4 linked regions of the Caenorhabditis elegans genome follow. The protein of the gene in region 3 purifies or fractionates together with the protein of the main gene of each other region. This does not show direct contact. Each region holds a gene or a part of one and is shown on either strand. Other genes may lie near its edges. The genes, in order: ost-1, clp-1, cash-1 and R05H5.3.

What was found.
Region 1: the proteins of cash-1 (region 3) and ost-1 fractionate together in Caenorhabditis elegans (co-fractionation; one large-scale study listed by BioGRID). This does not show direct contact.
Region 2: the proteins of cash-1 (region 3) and clp-1 fractionate together in Caenorhabditis elegans (co-fractionation; one large-scale study listed by BioGRID). This does not show direct contact.
Region 4: the proteins of cash-1 (region 3) and R05H5.3 fractionate together in Caenorhabditis elegans (co-fractionation; one large-scale study listed by BioGRID). This does not show direct contact.

What each region holds. Positions count from the first base shown.
Region 1 is NC_003282.8:1,105,532-1,111,403, reverse strand, and holds ost-1 (SPARC), read right to left. Parts: upstream 4,009-5,872; 5' UTR 3,956-4,008; coding exon 3,893-3,955; intron 3,844-3,892; coding exon 3,771-3,843; intron 2,592-3,770; coding exon 2,458-2,591; intron 2,190-2,457; coding exon 1,983-2,189; intron 1,509-1,982; coding exon 1,362-1,508; intron 1,008-1,361; coding exon 837-1,007; 3' UTR 532-836; downstream 1-531. UniProt on the Caenorhabditis elegans protein: Has a high affinity for collagen. Affects nematode body morphology and mobility. Essential for C.elegans development and muscle function.
Region 2 is NC_003281.10:7,979,308-7,986,844, reverse strand, and holds clp-1 (Calpain clp-1), read right to left. Parts: upstream 5,772-7,537; 5' UTR 5,677-5,771; coding exon 5,575-5,676; intron 5,481-5,574; coding exon 5,357-5,480; coding exon of another isoform or gene 5,241-5,356; exon of another isoform or gene 5,173-5,240; coding exon 5,035-5,172; intron 4,382-5,034; coding exon of another isoform or gene 4,307-4,381; intron 4,115-4,306; coding exon 3,986-4,114; intron 3,939-3,985; coding exon 3,496-3,938; intron 3,454-3,495; coding exon 3,295-3,453; intron 3,225-3,294; coding exon 2,962-3,224; intron 2,902-2,961; coding exon 2,770-2,901; intron 2,396-2,769; coding exon 1,926-2,395; intron 1,882-1,925; coding exon 1,776-1,881; intron 1,728-1,775; coding exon 1,670-1,727; intron 1,503-1,669; coding exon of another isoform or gene 1,494-1,502; intron 1,181-1,493; coding exon 1,091-1,180; intron 1,045-1,090; coding exon 926-1,044; intron 823-925; coding exon 813-822; 3' UTR 517-812; downstream 1-516. UniProt on the Caenorhabditis elegans protein: Calcium-regulated non-lysosomal thiol-protease which catalyzes limited proteolysis of substrates. Required for assembly and maintenance of integrin attachment complexes which are essential for maintenance of adult muscle.
Region 3 is NC_003283.11:10,360,333-10,366,454, reverse strand, and holds cash-1 (Striatin N-terminal domain-containing protein), read right to left. Parts: upstream 4,195-6,122; 5' UTR 4,131-4,194; coding exon 4,074-4,130; intron 4,026-4,073; coding exon 3,918-4,025; intron 3,873-3,917; coding exon 3,686-3,872; intron 3,643-3,685; coding exon 3,464-3,642; intron 3,412-3,463; coding exon 3,359-3,411; intron 3,312-3,358; coding exon 2,873-3,311; intron 2,824-2,872; coding exon 2,478-2,823; intron 2,002-2,477; coding exon 1,454-2,001; intron 1,405-1,453; coding exon 1,276-1,404; 3' UTR 521-1,275; downstream 1-520. Other genes in the region: putative tubulin polyglutamylase ttll-15, read right to left, coding at 5,211-5,511, 5,562-5,695, 5,746-5,871, 5,983-6,111.
Region 4 is NC_003280.10:10,195,802-10,198,831, forward strand, and holds R05H5.3 (protein-disulfide reductase), read left to right. Parts: upstream 1-1,823; 5' UTR 1,824-1,825; coding exon 1,826-1,906; intron 1,907-1,959; coding exon 1,960-2,171; intron 2,172-2,223; coding exon 2,224-2,380; 3' UTR 2,381-2,517; downstream 2,518-3,030. Other genes in the region: srb-6 (Serpentine receptor class beta-6), read left to right, coding at 25-243, 294-395, 464-558, 607-799, 849-1,034; R05H5.4 (Tyrosine-protein kinase), read right to left, coding at 2,531-2,794, 2,840-3,030.

The sequences.
Region 1 (5,872 bases), on a different chromosome or scaffold from region 3:
ATTTTTCATAATTTGTCGAAACTCTATAACTCGGTCAGTTTTAAAGATTTTTCTATGGTTTATGTGTTAAACGGTAGTTAAACTTGATCATCTCAGCGCCATCCTGGTTTTCACTCACTTTCACCGAAAGTTGCTCGCCGAGCACCACCCGGAACACGTGCATCCTCCAACAATGTCATGGATCCACGTGGATCAGCATGGATCTCATCATGGAGGCTCTCCAAATCACCGACCTATGATGCACTATAATGCACATGTAACAAAAGTTGATACGTATTGATTTTTTTTTGAGAAGCGCAATTTTTTTGGTTGTCTACATGTCGAGGGATATAAGTCGGCAACCACACATGTTAGCAAAAACATATCAACTATGAAAATGTTGCAAATTGTCAGAGCTACATTTTGTTTGTTTACAACTTTTTGGTAGCTTCTAGGGTTTCCGAGTTATATGGAAAAAATCTGGAAGTGGTTTTTTTTTGATATTTTGGAATTTTTTCTGAAATTCTTTTTTTTTCAATTTTTTCCTCTCACAAATTGCCGTAATTATCAATAAAATAAACATTTATTATTAAAATTGAAAATTATAGAAAAAAATTAAAAAGAATCAGTAGGATATCATTATGTTCAACTGAGATTTGGCACATTGGATTCAGCAAAGCAAAAAAAATTCAAAAATCGATATTTGAGGTTAAATAGGGGGTTCATGGCCTAGAAATCTGTAATTTACAGATATTTCTAGCATGTGAGCAAGTTGGCAGTTCGGCAAGCTGGATTAGAATTTTTTTTGGGAAAGTTTTTTTTTTTCGAATTTTTTAAACTTTTAATTAGATAATTATTTAGCATCTCTCTTGGATCTCTCCCTCCTTAAGTCCCAAGCATTTTCCCCATTCCTTAATTGAAATGTTTCCGTCATTGTTGGCGTCGCATCCCTCGAGGAATGGCTTGATGCAGGATTCCATTGGGATGACTGGAGCAGTGATTGGAATGAGCTCGTGGTGGGAGACGGACTGAAAATAGTGGGATTAGAGTGGGAAATTCAAAAAATTCAGAAAATTTTAGGTTTGGGTGGAAAATTAAAATTTAAAAATTTTCGAAAATGTTTTTTTTTAATTTTTTAAAATTTACAGTAGGGTTTTAAAAAAACTTTCAAAAAATGTTTTCTTTTTGGGAAATAAAACATTTTCTGATTTTTTTTAATTCTGAATATTTTTTTTTAACATTGTGTCTAAATTTATTAATTGATAAGTTTTGATTTTTTATAAATTAAAATTTTTTTGGCTTGAATTTTTTTATTTCTCAAAATTTCAATTTTAGCTTTTTTAAATATATCGTTTTTTTTTTAAACCAAGCTTCTTACTAACCTTATCATGTGGCTTGGTGTCAAGCTCGCAGAACTTCCAGATAACTGGGTACACGTGCTTCTTCTCGTCGTCGTTCTCGGCCTCGGAGAGGAGCTCTTCCCACTCGAGCTTGTGGAGCTCACGTCTCTTCTTAAGCTCCTTCATGACCTGAAACAAATTGAGATTAATAAAATTTAAGTAATTTATGGTGTTTCTTCAGTTGACAAAATTTCGCTAGCTTTGAAACAAGCGGAGTTGGATCGGTTTGAAAAAACGTTTTTTTTTTTTCATTTTTCGTTTTTTGTGGGTTTTTTGAGTTGCCGAATTTGCGGAGCGATAACTCGACAATCAGTTGGAACACACAAAATTTGTTTAAAAATATTTAAATTTCATAAAATTTGCTACAATTTCTCGAAAACAATTTTTTAAAAAGCAACCCTGGTTGCTGAGATATTCCAACTTGAAAAAAAAATCTACTAAATTTTTTGTTTTGAAATTTTTGAAATTTCAAATCCCCGCAACTCTGCTAGTTTTGAAGTTAACAAAATATTGTCAACTAACAAACTGCTTCAAACAACTTTTACGTTAATGTGCCATTTGTCAGTTTTTTAATGGCACCTATTAGCCTCTTTCAACCCCCACCTGGAAGAGCCAGTCAGCCATGCGTTCTGGGAATTGAGCCATGTGCTCTTCGGTGCACTCATCAAGCTTCTTGCATTCTCCGAGGTATTCCAAGTGGACTTTGGCGTTGAAAGCCTTGGAGCACTCCTTGGACTTTCTCTTGCACAAGCATCTCTCACGGTAGAGGTCACAGAGGGAGGTGAAGGTTTGGTTGTTGTTGGCGCACACCTGGAATGATAACTTTTGTTTGAAGAGGAGTAACATTGTTAGATTGCTAGATTTTAAAAAATTATTGATTAACAACTTGTAGAACATGTTTTAAGCTACATTTTAGTAGTTAGCAAATTTTTGATAGCTGTAACGGCTGAGGAGTTAGAACTTGTCAAAGTTCTAGTTTAAAAAAATTATAATTCCGCAACCAGCAGAGCTAAAAAAAAGTTATCAGTTAACAAAGTACTGTTAAAACTTCAAGCTTTAACATTTTGTTAGGTCCCACCTTATCCATCGGGTCTCCGTCGAGTTCTGGGCACTTTGAGATGCACTCACAAGTTGGTTCTCCCTTCTTTCCGACGACACATTCCTTTCCCCATCCGCACTGGTGGTCCTCGCATGGGTTCTTGGCTGGCTCTACTGCAAAATATAGTAATTTTCAGAAGAGTTTGAGAACTGTAAAATGATTTTCCAAGAGTTTGTAATATATTGCCAGTTGGCAAAAATTTGATAGTACTGAAACTGGCAGAGCTACAGGGGTCGGAAGTTGGCGAAATCGCCGAAGCGTATAGCTCGCCAACCAGTAAAGCTATTCAAAAATTGCCAACTAACAAAATATTGCTCACAAAATTTCCTAAAATTGTTGGTTGAAAACTCTTTGATAGCTCTAATGGTTGCGGAGGTATTTATATCAAAAGTTCGGCAGCCTAATTTAAAACCGGAATTTTTTGGCAATCATTAAAGTTAGTGAAAAATTGTCCGCTAACAAACGATTTCTCACAAAATTTCCTACAAATTGCCCACGCCTGATCTATTTTCAGCACTTTCATCTCTAGCTACCCCATCTAAGTTCCCCCATAAATATTAGTGCTCGTTTTCCTCTCTTGCTCACGGAGCCGCCGCCGCCGCAGCAGCCTTCATATTACAACACCACATGACGTGAAATGCACAAAGCTTCGAGCATCTTCGAAGGTTCTCCAACTTTACACTGCAGGAGCCCAGGAGATGGCTCCGTGAGCTGGCGGCTAGCTGGCCAGATGCAACAAGATTGATTGGGACATTGGCAGTTTATGAATCATCATCATTATCAGTCGGAAGGGGTTTCGAATGTGTTTTAAACTCTTTGGGTTTCTTGAGGATTGGGACTATGGATGATGGATGATAATTGATTAGGTTTTCGAAAATGCCGTAACTTTTTGAATTTTGTAGGAAGTTTTACAAAGTTTTAGTTACTTTGCTATAGGATATTTATTAATTTTATAACTCGTCAACTAAAGTTAGAAGCATGGTGCATCGAAGGATCGCTTTTGGTTTTATCAAGAATTTGTTTAAGAAACTAATTGTAGTTCTTTTAGTAACGCCTATGATTCTTGAGATTCACCGGTTTAAAATTGAAAAGGGACATGACTGTGCAAGTTATCAAAACGTTGTCAGCTAACAAGTTGTTGGAAAATATGTGAGCAGCACTAACGCTTGTGTCAGCTGCGATAGCTAAATTTTGACAAGCTGTAGCTTATGAAATTTGCATTAATTCGTTAGTTGGCAGATTTTGAATAGAACTGATAATTGCCGATATATACCGTATTCAAGTTTACTCACCACTCTTCTTCTCCTCATCAGCATCGATGTTGTCGAGGAGCTCTCCGAGCTCATCATCAGCGATCTTCTTTTTCTGAAAATTTCTCATTAATTCGCTGAAAAAATCCCCTCAAAGCCCATACCTTGGCGTCAACGAAAGACGAGGCTGCCAGAAGCAGGAGACAAGCGGCAAGAGCGTAACGCATCTTGGACGGCGAATGAAGAGGACCCGCTGGGGGCTCACCGAGCACACAGATCTGGGCGGAGCATGTGAGGAGACGGCTGGCACAATGTTGCACAATATCGGCCCGGTGGAAAAGAAAGACAGAGAAAATTGACACAAGATTGATTGGAATTATCGAAAGTGCAATTTATTGGGAGAAGGGACTATGGAGAAGTGACTAATATTAATTGGATTGTGCAATAAACTTTAAAATTAAATAATGTGCACTTTTTTATAGTTCATCTTCAACATTGTTCTTGGTTTTCTCCAAGATATAAACCACCAAAGTTGAGATCTAAGACATGGTGCATCGTTAGGAAAGTTCTCCATTTAAAGGCTCATATCTCGGTTTTTTCTTTTTTGTTTAAAAGTTATCAACTAACAAAATGTGTGACATATTCTTATATATGCATTTAATTTTATTGTTTCAATCATTTTCATACGATTAAAAATAATTGTAACCATGATATGATCCTCCAAAGTTGAAATTTAAGACATGGTGCATCGTAAGGGAAAATGTATACTTTAACAGCTGATATCTCGATTGTCTTCTGTTTTGTTCAAAAACTGTCAACTACAAAAATGTTTGACATATTCTCATATATAAATTTGTTGTTAGAATCATGTTTATACACTCAATTGTAATCAAGATATGATCCTTGAAAGGAGACCCATGTGCAGCGTAAGGAAAAATCTCTACTTTGACAGCTGATATCTCGATTGTCGTTAGTTTTATTCAAAAATTGTCAACTGAAAAACACTTATCATCTTTATTCTCTACCTTTCTACATAGTTATAGTATTTTTATATCACTAATTGTATCTGTGGTATAAGCTGACAGACATGTTGCATCAAAGCTTCATTTATTTTTTATTTACAAAATTTGGAATGAATATTTTTCATATTTTTACCTTCTACTTTTACTGTTTTCAAAATTTCCGAGCAGCTGGAAAATGGTCAGAAAAAACAAAAGTTATCAATGAATTGTAAACTATTTGTAGTGGAACTTATTTTGATGGCACAAAAACCGTTAAATTTGTAATTCGAAACATGGTGCAGCGAATCTCTGCTCCCATAAGTTTTGACTTAATATGCTCCTTATACTCCTGTTCGTTCCTAAATAAATTCCACAGGTCACTGCAAGTAGTTTTGTCCTGTAGCAACGCATTTTCCATTCCAGTTGACCGCTATCAAATTACATCCGTACTAACAACAGCTGTCGGTGTCCTGTTTACTTCAAAACGCTGTGCTTTTTCATATTTTTTACAGATCGTGGCAGCCGACAAAGTGTAAAAATATGTTGCACTTTTGATCGATATTGAGTTCTGCCTTCTGTTAGTGAGGAAATCTTCAATTGTTCATATCTCATTGAGAATATAAGTTATCGAAAAGTTGTCAACTAACAATCTATTCTACGTAACAATTCCTACATTTTGTTCGTTGACAACATTTTTGTAGCTCTTCTCTCCACTGAGTTATGAATTTTTTAAGATTTAAGATTGTGCGGCGAGAGAGTGTGGGGTGAGGGGAGACGCAGAGCGCGCGCGCAGCCTGCGTCTCTCTTCCCTCTGCGCTCTTTCCCGTTAGTTATTTCAGGAGCCGTTTTCTCGGCGGGGAGAAGAGGTAGAAAAAAGTTTTCAACTGACAAAATATAAGGAATTTCGAGGAGATTATGTGTTATGATAATAGTTTTTTGTAAAATTGAAATGGAAGAGTTTGCCGAACTAGGTCATTTTGGCTCGGCCATATCTTCATTTACGGCGCGTTGCGTGTCGCGTCGCGGCTCGATTCGGTTATTAGTTGTAAAACTAAATGTATTTGTCGACTTTCCCACACGTTGTCCGGCGGCCGATTGTCATTGGAGCGCGAAAAATTCAATAAGGAAGGTCAGAACCCCGTG
Region 2 (7,537 bases), on a different chromosome or scaffold from region 3:
TTAAAAAAAGTTAGTGAGTCCAAAGTATACGGTACCGACCGGTCTCGACACGAAGGATACGATTACTGCAGAATAGAATGTGCGCCTTTAAAGATTACGGTAATGTCGAAGCTTTGGAAATCGATTAAAGAAATGAATTTTTTCTCATTTTAATAAAAACAAATTTTATGCAAAATTGGGCTGGAAAAAAGACTTTTGTTCGAAGCTGCTAAAAAAAAGTATTATTACTTCACCGTAAAACGTGATTTTTTACAGTTTCTCCCACTACTCGAGGTAAATATATTTTTATCTTTCCTAATTGATTTTTAAAAAAAGAGAAATTTTTAAAGCTAGATCAGAAATGGTTTAGTGTATGTGGTATTATTCGTAGCGACAGAGTCAATACTAATGAAATCTGTGAATATTTTTTAAGTGTTGAAGAATATAAGATAATTTTGTTCATTTAAAAATACTTCGTATGCTTAATCTTTTGACAGGCTTGATTTTTGAAAAGACGGAAATTTTGGATATCTTTCATCAGAACTAGAAAATTTATTTACTCTGGAAAAGGCAAAAAAAAAGAATACAGTGAAACAACAAGCATATCAAAATATTACAATTCTACAGAGCAGATCCGGCAAACATCGACGGGAAATTAGGCAGAAAGAGTGGAGAAAAGAGGGACGATTGAGGAAAGAGAGAGAGGGTAGGGGGGTTAATGATGAAAATAGAACGAGTGACAGAGAGATTTATACATAACGAAGTGGATCAAAACAATAGGTATAGGAAGATCCAATCTTGCTATTTGTTGTTGTAGTTGTGAGTAGAATGGCTTACAGTTCCCTGGAAAATATTGAATCAATGAATTATTAGTACCTGCAGAAGCTCAGCTTATATATTCTGTTAAATCAAAACAAAGTACAAAATCTTGATATTCACTACTCACTCCGACTCGATAAATCCATTCGTGTAGACACGGAGCATGAACTCGGCTTCCTCGTTTGGTTCAAATGTTGATGGAACGACAACATAGTTGCCCGGGGGTACACGGAAGCGGCCAGTCATCTGAAAATTTGGTTTTTAAAATTTAATTTTGAAGATAGAAAATTACCTCTCTTAAATTGATGAAAGCGGCCGATCTCATCGCGGATTTGTTGGCAGCGAAGAACTGTTTACTCAGTCGACCACGGTTATTTCCGGCCTGAATAGTATGTAATTTTATAAAGCTTGAAAAAATCTTTGGTTCGGACGAACACAGAGACAGAAAATACAATTTTCTTTCAAATGACTGCATTTTTCTGTTATTTGATACGTTTCACACATCCAATAGTAAACAACAAAACATAAATATTGGTTAGATAATGTCAAAAAATCAGCACGTGTACTTCAACAATAAAACAATACACACTAAACAAAGTGGGTGAGGTTCACTGAATGTGGGTTATTTTGAACTAGAAACGACGTGATTTGGACAATTTTACCGGTTTCACAAGATTTTCAATTAGCCAACTTACATTGTTCATCTGTAAATTTTTAGCGTATTTAAAAGGTTTAAAAATTTTTTAGTAGTTTTAGGGGAAAGTTAAGTTTTCAAATGTTCCAACTATTCTATTTAAAGTTGAGGTTTTCTAGAATTGTCGTAAATTTCAGGCCAAATCCTGTTTTTTCTTCAAAATAACAATAGTCTCACGTCATAGACAGCAAATCCAATTGGCACGTTGTCAAGTCCATCTTGTTTCAGATTACGTCTTAAAAATTGGAAAAATAAAAATGATTTCCCTATCTGGTGGCGCTACCTGTATTTTTGCAAAACGGCGAATATTACAGTGCAGAGTTCATCATCATCATCAGGATCCGAATCGGTAAGTTGAACTCGGAATTGTGGATTGTTGGCGAAAGTGTCTGAATTGAAAATTGAAAATATTTGTAGATGAATATTTACTTACTGATGTAATTCCTGCATCCTCCAGCTGTTTGATTTCTAACCCATGCACCATCATGAGTATTTGCAGCCCAAACCATTCCAGCGGCCTTGACACCAGTCATTTGATAGACTTCATCCATAACATCTGGTCCAAGATTGCAAATTTCCATTTTCTCGAAATTCCTCATAAAATCATCAAATGACATCCAAAACTCTCCATCATGATCGAATTTCAGTCCCATATCTTGTTTTACAGAATCTGGAACACTTCGCCATTCGCGTGAATTGTCTGACCATGGTCCATTCCATTCCTGTTCATTTCCCCATGGATTACGGATTCGAAGAATGCAAGTTTGTCCATTTGGTCCGTCAACAATTCGGCATCCGGTAATTGAATAGGCGTGTCCTTTCACTAAACCATTCGACATTTTTGCTTCCCAAACATTTGGATCGGCTTCGATGGAGCAACCGAATAGGGATCCCATCTCGAATCTGAAATTTTGTTAATACATGGACGCTAAAATTTGCGCAAAAAATACGGTAATCGGTCTCGACACGACAACTTTTTGTCGAATATAAATAGGGGATCACTTTTAAAGAGTACTTTACTTTCAAGATTTTATTTTTGTGGAATTTTTTATCGATTTTTCATAGTTTGTGTGTTCTTAATTGTTTTATTTCTGTTTCTAACAAAAAACTATGCAAAATCAATGAAAATTCGGCATCAACGAAAGTTTGAAACTACAGTACTCATTAAAGGCGCACAGACATTCATAATTAACAAAAATTGTCGCGTCGAGACCGGGTACTGTAGTTTGGCACAACTCGTTTTTGGATAATAATGTAAATTAGACTTTAATCCCTACCCTCTCATCATCATTTGCATCAAGTTTCTTGGTGGGTTTTTGAGGTCGATAAACTCGGTGAGTCCTCCAGTCATGTCCTCAAGTGCTTCAGATGTGGTACCTCCCTTGAGAGCCTCGTATGATCCGAACAATCTTGAAAATTAATTAACTAGTTTATTCCTTCATAAATGTCGGTCAAAAGTCCGAACTTACTTTGCATATGCCTTCTCTAAAAGTGCACTCCAGAACTCATTATTACTAGCAGAATGCATATAGAGAAGCTCGCCGTTACTCGTTGGTAATCTGTCGTCAATAACAACATCCACCCATTTTCCGTACTGCCAGAATTGGAAATGGAAGATTCCAGCGTAGTTTTCAGTGAAAGATTGATCTGGTGGAACCACACGATAGAAGAGCTCATCCTTGAGAGTTAAATTGGCTGCAGCAGCCAAGAGCCAACAATCTCCGAGTTCTCCCTGAAAGAATATATAATTTTAATAGTACATTTCAAATATTAAAAATTCTGAAAATAATCCAAGAGCTAACCTGAATAACATCAAATCTCGAGTGACCCTCTGTAATCAGTTGTGGCTCTCTTGTGATTTCTCCAGGACGAAGCCATTCTACACGTTTTGGTGGACGTTTCGAGAAGAATAACGAACTATCATTGGCCAAGAATTGTGGATCCTCGAATAGTCGTTTGCTCTGAATTTATTATTTTAAAAATGATATGTTTTGAACACTCACCTCAAGACATTGATCTCTGAGCTCATAGAAGTCTTGTGGTTCGGTAGTTGGTCTTGGTGAAATAGGGCTTGGACCACTTCCACCACCTCCTCTATCTGGATCTGGTCCTGGACGAACGAATGGATCAACATCCCTACGGAACTTTCCAGAAATAATATTGTCCAGAATAACTTTTCCGATATTTCCAAGAGAATTATCTTTTCCACCAAGTCCCATAATCACATTTCCAGCGACAGCTCCAATGATTCTGCCTGTACCCGGATCAACGCCGAGGAATCTGTGAGCAGCTTCTCCAATGAGATTTCCGATAACATTCACCATTCCACCGTTGAGATTATTCGGGTTCACATTTCCACCTCCACCATTGTACTGGCCACCGCCTCCTCCGCCAATGAGAGATCCGATTCCTCCGAGGATATCTCCGAAGCCTCCTCCACCACCGCCTAAAATTTTTCAAATTATTCAAAGTATATTAATAAATGTTCTATACCTTGTCTCTGGCCACCACCACCACCACCTCCCATACTGTTGATGAGTCCACCGATATCATTGAAGTTAAAGCCACCGCCTCCGCCGCCTCCTTGATTTCCACCACCACCGCCGTAGTTACCACCTCCGCCTAAAATATTACTCTAGCTTGAATTTCATGGGTGCCACATTTGTGTAGATAGTTCAGAAATGAAATACAATTAGATGTGATAAATAAGTGTCAATAAGATCTATAAATGTTCTGATCATCAGCTCTATTAACTATTAAAATATTAACACAACATTTATGATACTACATGCACACTACAATCCTAATGCATACCACCACCACCAATAAGTGATCCGACCAAGCTTCCGATGTTGTTTCCACCACCGCCACCGCCACTGCCGCCTCCGCCTAAATTTCACACGAAATATCACAGCAAACATGCAAAATATTGCATTTTTAAAGGAAAATCACGAATCATCAGTCAAAAGCGAATTAACAGGAGAATTTAAAAGTCTAAAGCTTCTTTCAAAATAGCCATATTTTTCAAATCAAATTTTGGAAATGAGTGGTGTTGTTAGTATTTAAGTGAGTGTTGGTGAGTGCGTAGAAGCTTAACTTATTGTATTTTCAAACTCTCAGACCGTAATTTTGCCCTCCGCCGCCTCTTTGTCCACCGCCGCCACCTCCGCCGCTCAAAAGTCCCCCAAGAATGTCTCCGAACCCTCCGCCACCGCCAGATCCACCTCCACCACCAAAATTGTTATTTGGTGGCGGCTGTTGTCGACCTCCACCTGATTTTTAACATAAGTTGATGAATTTGTGCTATGAGCGTGGAATTGCGCTATTTTCAAGAAAAAAGCTTGAAGATTGGTGAACAATTACGGAACAAAAGACAAAGAAGCTTCACATTCCCAGACGTCCAAGAATGAAAAACTAGAAAAAAAACCGAGGATAATAAATTACAGACCATGTTCAGAAAATTTGAGAAAATGATTAAGCTAATTATATAATCAAATCTATAGAAAGCACAAAACAGCAAATAAAAAAAACACAAACGCTACCATAGTTATCCTGCTCCTTCTTTCCTTTCCTATTCACCACATTATCGAATATTCCTCCAATCAAGTCTTTCGCCATGTCTCGTTTCCTTTTTTGTTGATCTCCGCTGTTCCCATTCCCGCCTTGATCGTAGTTCGAACCTATGGATTACTGTAGCAGCAAATGGGATTACGATAACATGGACAACATATAAGGTGTGAGAAAAAATTCACTGATCTAAGCCACACGGTGATGTTTTGAGTGAATCTAAATGTTTTCTAACACAAAAAAAGGAACTTGAATTTTTAGGGAATTTTTGTCTGACAATTTTGAAAATAAAAATACCTCCACCGAATCCTCCATTTCCACCACCGAAACCTCCGCCTCCGCCGCCGCCTCCTCCGCCGCCTCCACCTCCGAAGAAGTTACTGGCAAGGCCTCCAAGGATATCACCACCGGCGCCACCGACCTGTGAGATAATTAGTTTTAGGTTGCAATTAAATTTCAACATGTCTATGTAGCAAATTTAAAAAAAAAATATTCTAACCAAAAATTAAACTAACCTTATCTCTAATCAGGTTACCAGCAATTGATCCAATTAATCCATTGAATTCATCCGGCTTCACTTCGACTTTTTGAATAATTTCTTCCTCATCGTCAGCCATTTTGATTCCGTCGGCTTTTGCTGTGAAACCGTCGGTTGTTGTCTTTTTTTGATAGTTTTCCTCCTCGTTTGAGCCTGCCGCACGATTTTCGGGGTCTGCAAAACAGAATATCTATGAATTTGAAATAAAATTTGATTTTTGTTCAACGAAAAAGTCAGAAGAAGCAGAGCAATCAGGCTCACAACATAGAGAAAAAAAAAACAAATTTTTACCTCTTCTTGGGGATACAGCAATTGAGAATGGAAACATAAAATAATTTTTAGAGTTAGAGCTTTTTTTAAGGAATGTGTAATTCTTAAAATCGATAAGCCCTTTGCGTGCTCTTTGAGCCTTCGGAGTTGGGGAGACAAAGATTAGCGTCAACTTTTTTGTGCATGCATTTTTCTGTTTTTTTTCTCATATTTTCTGAGCACGAAACAACATAAATTTAGTTGACAGAATAAAGGAAATTTGAGTTAATGGAAATAGAAACTTTATCTATTAATTTATTTGATTGTCATCAATTAGCTATCGATGGCAAACAAAACGGATGAACCTAATTGGAAACGGATAAAAATATAAATTCAATGTGACAGGGGGAGAAAAAAAAACTAGATTTTATTTTTTTGTTTCTCTTTTGGTTTTTCGGTCTTGTTTTCAATTTAATCGTCACGGAAATTGGTATTGGAGTGAGGCACAACACACCAAAAAAACAATTGCCACATTCAATGGGTTTCGAAATATAGAATATGCTCAGAAAATCAGATAAAACTAAGCAAATCGTAATTTTTGAACATGATTTTCAATTATTCAAGGATTTTTCTTTCAATTTTGTTCCGAAATTTCCCTGTATGACCTTTTGATACGGATAAAATTGTCTTTTGAAACCGAGAAAACGAACAAAAAACATTTGGAAATCGATGTAAAAGCTGCGGGGGACCAGAGTTTGCGTGTTTTGCTTTTGAAACCAATTCTACATTCCCATGAGTCTAAGCGAAGGACATGTCAACTCAGTGTCAGGAGCAGGCCGAAAATGTGTTTTTTTTTTAATTTAGAGTTCAGAAAAAAAACCACACCTTCTGAAGATACTCTGGATCACACGTAGACAACAATACAATACATTTCTTGAATTTTTTTTCATACAAATTTGACTCACCAACAAGACAACAATTGAATACATTCATTGCACCGGGCAATTCTCCTCGAGAAACGAGCACAGAATGAGCTCAAAAAGGGAGCAACAAGCAGCTCGTTTTGAGAAATGGAGAGCTAGAGGGACCAACCGGAAATAAAGGAGCACCCTATGGCTCAGAGCAGGAAAAAGTTGCTCTTTTTTTTCTCGAAACGGAATGTGATGGCAGAAATAGAGGGGAAAAGATGTTCCGCGCCGTTGATAATTGGTTTTGGTGAGGCTCCGGGGCTCAGTTGCTCTTTTTGTTTTTGTTTTCCGTTAGGTTCTATTCGCAGGTGATCGATAGCATAGAGGAAAAGGTCCCTTTTTCTTTGAAAAGAGAATAAAATTTTGTGTATCGAAGCACTTTTTTTTGGATTTATAGGTGAGTGACCAGAGAACTCTTTAGAATAAAGAAGTGGTGAGCGATTTAAAAATGAGAAAATTTCACCAACGTTGGTTGCCAATCATTCAAAAAGCCAGGGTTTGAGCTGTCTGAGCCCCATTTGACGATTATCTAGATGTTGCGGATTTACGACTTACAATTACAGAAATCTAAATCCAAATGAGGACTGTTCTTTTTTGTTTAATTTTTTTTATTTGGCTCCTAAAATATTCATTTTATTTGTTAATTTTTGTCAAAGGAGAAAAGCAACTGAAATTTTTTTGTTCTTGGTCGAAAGAACTTTTGTATACGGGAATGTAGTTGCA
Region 3 (6,122 bases):
TATTCATAAATATTTCTAAAACGAAAACCAAAAGCGAAAAAGTCAAACATAAAATAACTTGGCGACATTTTTTTTCCAACTTCTCTTCAACATAATCCTTAATCAGTTTGATTCTTGAGAACAGAAAACAATTGAATAAAACAATGACACGAGATTTAGTTAGTTAGCATATTTTATTATTCACTTTTTTTCTTTGTCTTTAAAATTTTAGATTGATTTATATCTATTGGGTTCTTCAATTTGGAATCGAGCTTATAGATATACCTTAATCTTCCCATTCAGCGTTTGGTCTGACGTAGAAAATGTTCATTCAGGTCACATAGTTTCCAGCAAAAGTAGATATTGCCATTCCTCATCGACTATTGGATCAATAGATGGTTTTAAATGGTTTTTTTTTTCTGGTTACGGTACTCAATTTATAAAATTCAAGAAATCATTAATTTTCGTTTGATAATTGCCCAATTGCCCAACACTGAAATGGTAGAAGTGAAAAATTCTGTATTCGTGCAAAAAATCAAACTAGAATTCTCAGTAATTTATGATACAGTTCAAGACATAGTTGAAACACTGTCAGTCGACCGAGATAGAAACAAAGAATAACAGATAATAATGGTAAAGAGAGACGAGGATGAAGTAGAGGAAAATGATGAGAACTTACGGTCTGAATTTGGATTCTCGAGGATATCTGGTTATTGATTAAAACTAAGCGTTTTGAGAATGGAAACAATGCCGAGAGAACAAAACATGGCGCAGAAAGGGTATCTAAGAGAAATAGGAACACGAGTCGAAATTTGTGCAGTTTAAAGATGAGCTAATCAATCAATATCCTATAGATTGTTTTAACCCGATTTGTATCGGTGTTGTTTCACATTACTGCCATAGAAAATATAAAAAATTGTTCGCCCAAATAACCACTGCAACCACTTCAGAAGATGGTTAATTTGAGCTAACTGCGACGTAATATTTACAGGATTGCAGATTAGGTTGACAAGTGTCAAAATGCTCATTTTCGACCCGTGATCAAATTTCATATTTAAAAAGAAATCAATCGAGGGAAGGAGGGGACAGATAAATTACGTTTAGATTTGAATAAAAATGGTTGTTGGTTATCTACAATAAAATAAAGGGTACTGTTGTAGTAATAAAAATGAAGGTATGTAGGCGTGGATTTGGGCATGAACTGGGAGACGAACTGGCGAATTCCTATTATACTTTAAGTTAAATTGGCGAAATATGAAAATAGGGAAATAATAATAAAAAAATGAATGGGATACTCTAGTTGCTTCCTGACACGTACACCTTGGCAAGAGAATCGGCACCGGCAGATCCTATAAGAGATCTTGAAGGATGGAAAGCAACGGAGGTAACTGCTGAATCATTCTTTTTCCGGTGGGCAGAAATTTCCTGAAAAATACTACATTTGTACAGTTTCTTAATTTATAAAAAAATATACCTGAAGGCATGAACGTTTCTCCATATTCCACATCCTGATACTACCATCATGACTTCCAGACAAAAGATAAAGACCATTTGGATCAATAGCAAGAGAAGAAACTCCCTCAACATGTGCGATAGCTTCATGAATTATCGATCCGTTGGTGTTGTCAAAGTACCGAATCGTCCGATCTTCACCGCCAATAAGTGTGAGAGGCATTGTTGGATGACTAACAATTTTGTTCATTGTTGGTGAACCTGTAACCGCTCCGAAATCGAACACCATGACAGTGCTTCCAGTATCGATATCAATAATTTGAGCATAGCAATTTGTGTATGCAGCAAGTAAATGTGATGTTTCCGTAGATACAAAATCAACTGATGTCGGAAGTATTCCGGATTTTGGGGCACCAATAGTTCTGATAAGTGGTTCACCATTTCCTGGTTCCCATAGACGAACCGTTGAATCAGAACTGGCAGAAACAAGGCGACTGTTTGATGAATGATAAGCCACCGACCAAATTGCATCCGTATGTCCAGTAAGTGTTTCAGTTAGGACTCGTGGATCTATAATAAATAACATAACCTTAAATTTGAACTAATTATTAAATTAACTTTAGTCTTATTGTTTGGCGAAAATTTAAACTAAAAATAGCGTTGAATCGTTTGAATCTGTATCGCAAAAGGTAACTGATACTTTGATATTTGAACATGTTATCATAATTTGGCGAAATTTTGTTGTTAGCTTAAAGGCACGCATCGTTTTCCGAGTGGGTCTCATAACGATTTCAGTCATAGTGGTAGCTACGAATGATTCACTTTTATTAGAAAATTGATTTTGAGAGAAAACTAAACTTCTAAAATTGCACTGAGAAAGTCCAAATTCTTCATAAAATATTATGCATCTAGTGTCCCGTTTCTGCGAAAGGACGATACTAATTTCAATGCATAATCTTTTTTTTCCAAACGATTTTGCACAAAATGAAGCAAATTGTGATTAATTAGTTTTTGACAGCTCATTTTAATTAAGAAATAAATCTTACCATAAGAATCAAATGGATCCCCGTTTGAAGATGGTACATTGAAACAGCAGATGTTTCCATCGATACCTCCGGTGTAGAGATGATCTCCAGTTGGCGACAGGACTAAGCATAGAACAGGGCCTTTGTGTCCCCGGAATGTATAAACTGGCTCAAGCTCGGTACCACCACTGTTGTGTTTCTCATCTTTCTTTTGATCGAGATTCCATAATTTGATCAGACCGTCTTCCGAAGCAGTAAATAGTACGGGCTCAACTGGATGGAATTGCATCGCGCGAATCGAATCAAGGTGAGATCGTAGAGTAACTTTGATATTCCACTTCACTTGTTGTGCATTCGGATCATCATCCTGAATTTGACAATTATTTTTCTTTTATTTTTAAAACTGAAAAACTCACTTCATCTTTGAACTCGTCCTTAATGTCCATATTATCATTATCTTGCATTCCAAGAGCAACGTCCAACTCATTTCCGTTACCATATCCAAAATTAGCACTACGTCTACCTTGTCGCCGAACTGGAAGTTCTTCTTGTGCAGCGGCATCGATAGCTGATCGAATTCCTGGTGGAACATCAGTCTCTAGATTTTTCTGAACATCGTTGCTTGTTTTCTCTTCGGATTCTTCAGTTGACGTCCTTGAACGCCGCTTCACTTTTGGATCGTCCTTGTATTGTTTTATCAGTTTTTCGAATGAAGCTCCTTTTCCTGCCCAGTCATCGTCAGAACCTTTTTCTTTCGCATCCATATTGTTTAGAAAATCAAACTCTTCAAACGCCTTTGAGGCGTCAGCATCCAAGGCTGCATCATCATGTCCGTCATCGGAATCACTGTAATTACTTAGAACGATTGCTATGTGTTCAAAAAGAAAGTAGTGAATAAGTACCTGTCACTTTTCTCTTTTCTACCATTGAGACGTTCACTGGATGGAAGATCAGCCTGGAAGTTCAAAACAGATTGGTTTTTTTTTCAAACTATTGAATTTTCATACTTGGGGTAATAATCCGAGAAGATTTTTTACACGGAAGGATCGAACATCCATGATGTGCTCGCTGTATCCAATTTCTTCCAGATAACGTTTGAGAAGAAGGCGTCCCTGCCTGAAACTACCTCCAGCTTCACCAGCATCATTTATGTATGCATCAAGGTCGGCCGTCAAATGGCTGTTTTCTGAAATATATATTTTCGATCGGAACGTCTTCATAGAAATTACCGCTTGGCGCTGAATTTTCATTTGGAGATTCTTCCAGTGATGGTGGTTCTTCGCCGTTGTGGGTTAGTCGATAATTTTTGGCACGTTCTTGTTTCAGGCAGAATTCGAGCATTTTGATACGACGGACAAGATCTTGTTTCAAATTTTCTTGACCTTTTCTTTCTCCTTGTAGGAAAGCAATACGAGCCTACAAAAATTTCACATTACAATCGTAGAAAAAATATTTACTCACCTGCATTTCGGCTCTCTCTGCTTCCCACCTAGTTCGATCTAACTCATTTTTTGTCCATTCGTGTTGTATAAAGTGCAAAATACCCGACATTGTATACTGAGGACGAGTCTGTAAAGTTTTCGATTTTTACAGAAGCTGAATTCCAACTCAACTTACCGTTTCGTCCTTTGCTTTGTCATTTTGTGAGTTTGACAATTGACTGGCGTCCTCCATTGTAAACTACTCGAATCCGATCTTATTTCGAGTAATTTACGTTAATGAAGCAAGTGCAAAAGCTGGAAAGAACAGTTGAAAAAAATTACGAAACGTGTATAAGAAGATTTTCAAAAAGTTTAATTGCAATAGAGGACGAGAAGTTTGTGGCAAAATTGAAACTGCTTATTAGGGCTGTAATCAATATAGATGAGCTGATAAAATAAAAGTAGCATCAAGTCGTACGAGACTGATGAAAAACTGATTCGATTAGGTGGACGCAGCCCCGAGGCACGAGGAAGAAAAGGGAAGAGCGAGTAAAACGAGTGCCGTTGTCTGCGTCGCGTGTTCGGCGCGCGTCTTCATATTAACAATGGGGCGCATATTCGTTGCAATTATTGGCGCCTTTTCAAATTTGAAAGGTAGACTTTCTATAAGTACCGTATGCCACTAACAATTAAAAAATACAAATGTGAAATCTATTTTCCATTTGAATTTCAAAATGCTAATATATTAAGTGGCTTAGCAGACTGTATCCGTTAACCAAAAATATGAGAAACTTGAACTTTGCCAACATAAAACCACCAGCTGAAAATCAAATGCATTTACTTGGGTTTTGGATCTTGGAGAAACTTTTATTATATTATTTAATCACCTGCTGATGTAGTTAGAAAAAAGGAATGAGATTTTATTGTCTCAAATTTTATCTAAATTTCACGCGTATTACGTTTCAAGCATATTCAGGTACTTATTTGCATCACATAATATCTTTTTTCATCGAAAAGATTGTTTCAAAAACAAAATTGAAAAACAAAAACGGAATGATTTATTTGAAAATTAAAATTGATTACTTATATCCGATATATTCAATTTATTTTTCAAAAACAGTAAGATAACGTTCAGTTGGTGACCAATTTTTACTGAATAAAATAATGAGATCAAGAGAAACTTTCAAAAAAACTTCAATCTCAAAACCCGCTATGCAAGATTGTCTTAAAAACTCCCAGAAAGTTGCATTTGAAAATTTCTAAGTATTTTTTGAAAAAACCGGGACCGTCATAGTTTTGGCCAATACAATAATAAAATGTACAGCACGCTACTTTAACACCACGTATTATCCAATTGACATTTGGTGCTTAACCATAATGTGAGAAGATGATCTTCTTTTGTTAATGGATGATGATTTTCATAGTCGAACTGAATTCGTTTCATCTGCTTCCTGTTCGAATTTTCCACAAAAGTCTGCTCCAGTATTTTCCTTGTTTCTGTATTCATACAGTGTCCGCATAGCTGGCATTCTGGAGCCTCATCACATGATTCACATTTATTTTCAACACAAAATTTCAGCGGAAGATTGATGTCTCGGGAGTTAACAAGAGGATTTTGTTCGGATGTACGTGATCTAGAACGGGAAATCTAATTTGTGGACAGCTTCAAATGGAATAAACGAACTTGAACAAGATGTCAGCTTCTTTTGTAATTGGTGTTGAAATTCCAGTTAGAGAGAAAATGTTCATTAGAACTTGTTCATAAAGTATTTGATTTTGTTTAAAATGACCTGAAGAGAGATTAGGAGACATATTCGCCTGCAAAGATGTCTTGTAAATTTTAATGATTCTGAAAAATAAATGCATACCTCCATAAGAAAAACGTTCAATTGATCATCGACCACAAAATCAAATCTGCTTAATTCAAAGTATTGTGGATTTAATTTCAAGTTTTGAAGACTCATTAGCATTTTTGTTTGCTGTGTTCGGAAGACCTGAAAAAAGATAATGAAGTTCAGAAAAAGTGTGCAAAATTTTTTGATCGTCTCCTTTGAATATCTAGAAAATATGCATCACAGAGATTAGTTGAGAGTTCTAAATATTACCTCTCCAATAATATTTCTTATCTGCAACCAAATCTTGCTTGTATCCATTCCTTGCATTCCCAAATAAGAATCAATTGTACTCTTGAAGCTCATTTTTTGAGTGTTGAAGTATTTTTTCAATGAATTTATCTGAATATCTT
Region 4 (3,030 bases), on a different chromosome or scaffold from region 3:
AGATTTACAGAATAATTCTTTCAGGCCCACCACGTCGTCATCCCTTTCTTGGCAGTCTCCAAGTGTGATTTGTTAGTGAATCCCGTGAAAAACCGTATCTTTCAAAATATCGGCGTTTTCGGTATTTCTTGCCCAATGCTCACAATTCTTGGAATAACTGCTGAACGCCTTCTGGCTCTGATCTTTGCTCGTTGCTACGAAAATGTTAAGCTTCATATTGGAGTGTTTATCGGTGTTTTTGCAGTGAGTAGCGTTATTATTTTTTATTATTAAAATTAAAATAAATAGTTCAGATGCTTTGCGACATGGCACTTGTCTATTTCTTCTTCCTCGATGAGAAATTCGATCAACCGTCCATCTCATACTTTATGGTTCCTGATACTTCCGGTTATAAAGTGAGTTTTCCCAGGGAATTTGGAAATTTCACCTAGGCGGCATTAAAACATAAAACCATAAATTTCAGATGAATTGGTTATGCTATTCCTTACTTGCTATTAATAGTGTAAATTTAGTTTTCAATTATTTTTTGGTAAAGATCAACACTATTTTGAAAGAAAAGTAAGATCAGATTTAAATTATTTTAAATGCAAACACTGAAAATTTCAGATGGCGTAATTCTTTATCAACTCGTTATCAAATGGAAGAGAACATTATAACCACGAAATTCTCCACTTTTATCTCATTTATTCATGTATTCTTCTTCTCGCTCTATCTCATTTTCACCCTAATTATTCGTCTTCTAGGACCAGGATTTTTGAAAACACAAGCCGATTTGATGTCGGTCAGAGGTGTTTACATCGTGAGAATATGGTGTTCGACAAATCATGACTAAATTACATTTTTTTCAGACTATTCCCACGTATAATTTGATTATTGGTATTGCTTCATGCGTCATTCTACGGCATTTGCAAAGACAAAAAGTTGCAAAAGTTTATGCGGAAGTTACATTGAAGTATTCTGGAATTGACGGGGCTCAGATTCATCAAGAGGCTATTTTAAATGTTTGGAAGACTAAGTCATCAGGACGGAAGTGACTGATTTATAATTGAAAAAATATATTACACGACAATAATATTTATGTTTAAATCGATGTTGTGCACAAAGGTGTGCGCCTTTAAGAAGTACAGTAACCCATCCCAGTTTTTTCGCAACTTTCGTCAACTTTTATACTTTTTTATCTGAAAAATTGTTTTATTATAGAAACGAAATTGCAGTACATGAAAAAAAGTTTTTTTAACTACGAAAAACGTTTAAAAAACAGTATTATGGGTTACTGTACTTCTATGGCACAATCAATAAATATTGCGTTGATTCTTTTTCTAAACTTTGTTCGAGCGAGAACAATTATTGTGCTTTTTTCATTGAAAAAAATTTACTCTTTATTAAAAAAAAATAATATTTCGAATGTAATCTTGCTTTATTTGAGAGTCAATAGTTCCGTAAGATCAACAAATTCATGAGTTCTCTTTGCAAGCGCGCTCTGTGGAGCGGCGCCAGAAATTGAATTCGCCGCGAAAAAGAAGCGCTAGAACGGAAATTCGAAAATTTTCTTCTCATTTCCTCTCATTTTATCGAGTTTCTTCGCTTTTTTTTTCATTTTTTGCTGCGTTGGCTAACTCCAAGAGCTTTCTCCACAGATACCCCGGTTTTTAAAGTCTTATATTTAGCAAATTGTGAGCTTTTGAAGTTGTTTGATGCGAAAACTCTTCGAATTTTATTGCAGAATTTATAGCTTATAGTTAACCTTCATTTTGTTCGCATTTCTTCCGCCGGTGCCATTTTACCATTTCAATTTATGAATACTTCTAGCTTTTATTTTTCAGAAATGTCCGAATTGCTCGCTGGAACCAAGTTGATCAACCAAGACAGCGAAGAGCTCGATGCTGGCGAGCACCTCAAGGGAAAGGTAAAACATTTCTTTTTTTTTTGAAGAAAAAATGGCAAAATTAATATTTCCAGGTCGTCGGACTCTACTTCTCGGCCAGTTGGTGTCCACCATGCCGTCAATTCACTCCAAAGCTCACTCGATTCTTCGACGAGATTCGCAAGAAGCATCCAGAATTCGAGGTTGTTTTCGTGTCTCGCGATCGTGAAGACGGTGATCTCCGTGAATACTTCCTTGAGCACATGGGCGCCTGGACTGCAATTCCATTTGGAACTCCAAGAATTCAGTTAGTTTCAGCTAAAATCGAATTTTAAATGTATACAAATAATTATTTTCAGAGAGCTTCTTGAACAATACGAAGTGAAGACGATCCCATCAATGCGCATTGTCAAGCCAAACGGAGATGTCGTTGTTCAGGACGCTCGCACCGAGATTCAGGACAAAGGAAATGATCCAGAAGCTCTCTGGGAAGAGTGGCTCGCTTTCTACGATTAAATTTTCTCCACCAACGTAACACCAAAAAATTTCAAGTTTCCTTTCACTCTAATTTATCAATTGTCACAATTTCTCACCATAATTTCAAATATTGCGGCTAATTTCGTACATTTCCCATAAAAACTTTCGCAGCCAAAGATTTATTTACATTTACAGTCTAGATTTATTCGGATCCACAGACTTCGTGGTTGGCTCTGACGACACGGACAATTTCGATTTTTCCACACTTGTAGGTGGTGCCGAAGTAGTGATGGAGTTTTCCGTTTTCTTCTTGAACTCTTCCAGCTTTTCCTTCAACTCTTCAGCGGTTGGTCGTTTTTCAGCATCTACTTGCCAGCACTCGCTCATGATTTCCACCATTCTACTCGGCATTGATGGTGGTGGAGGGAGGCGATATCCGGCTCGGGTTTTGCGCTGAAAAATTCAATACACATCTAGATCCTTTTTGGCAGTATTTACCTTGACTTGAGCAGCTTTCATCTCAACATATGGCGACTTGAATGGGGTCTCGAAAAACTCCCACATCATGATTCCAAACGCGTAGACGTCAGTGTTGAAACGCGTTTCCCCGTTGTCCCAAACCTCGGGAGCCAGCCATCGGATGTTGCATGGCTTTTTAAGATCAACTTTGTAGACGGATTGGGCTCGGC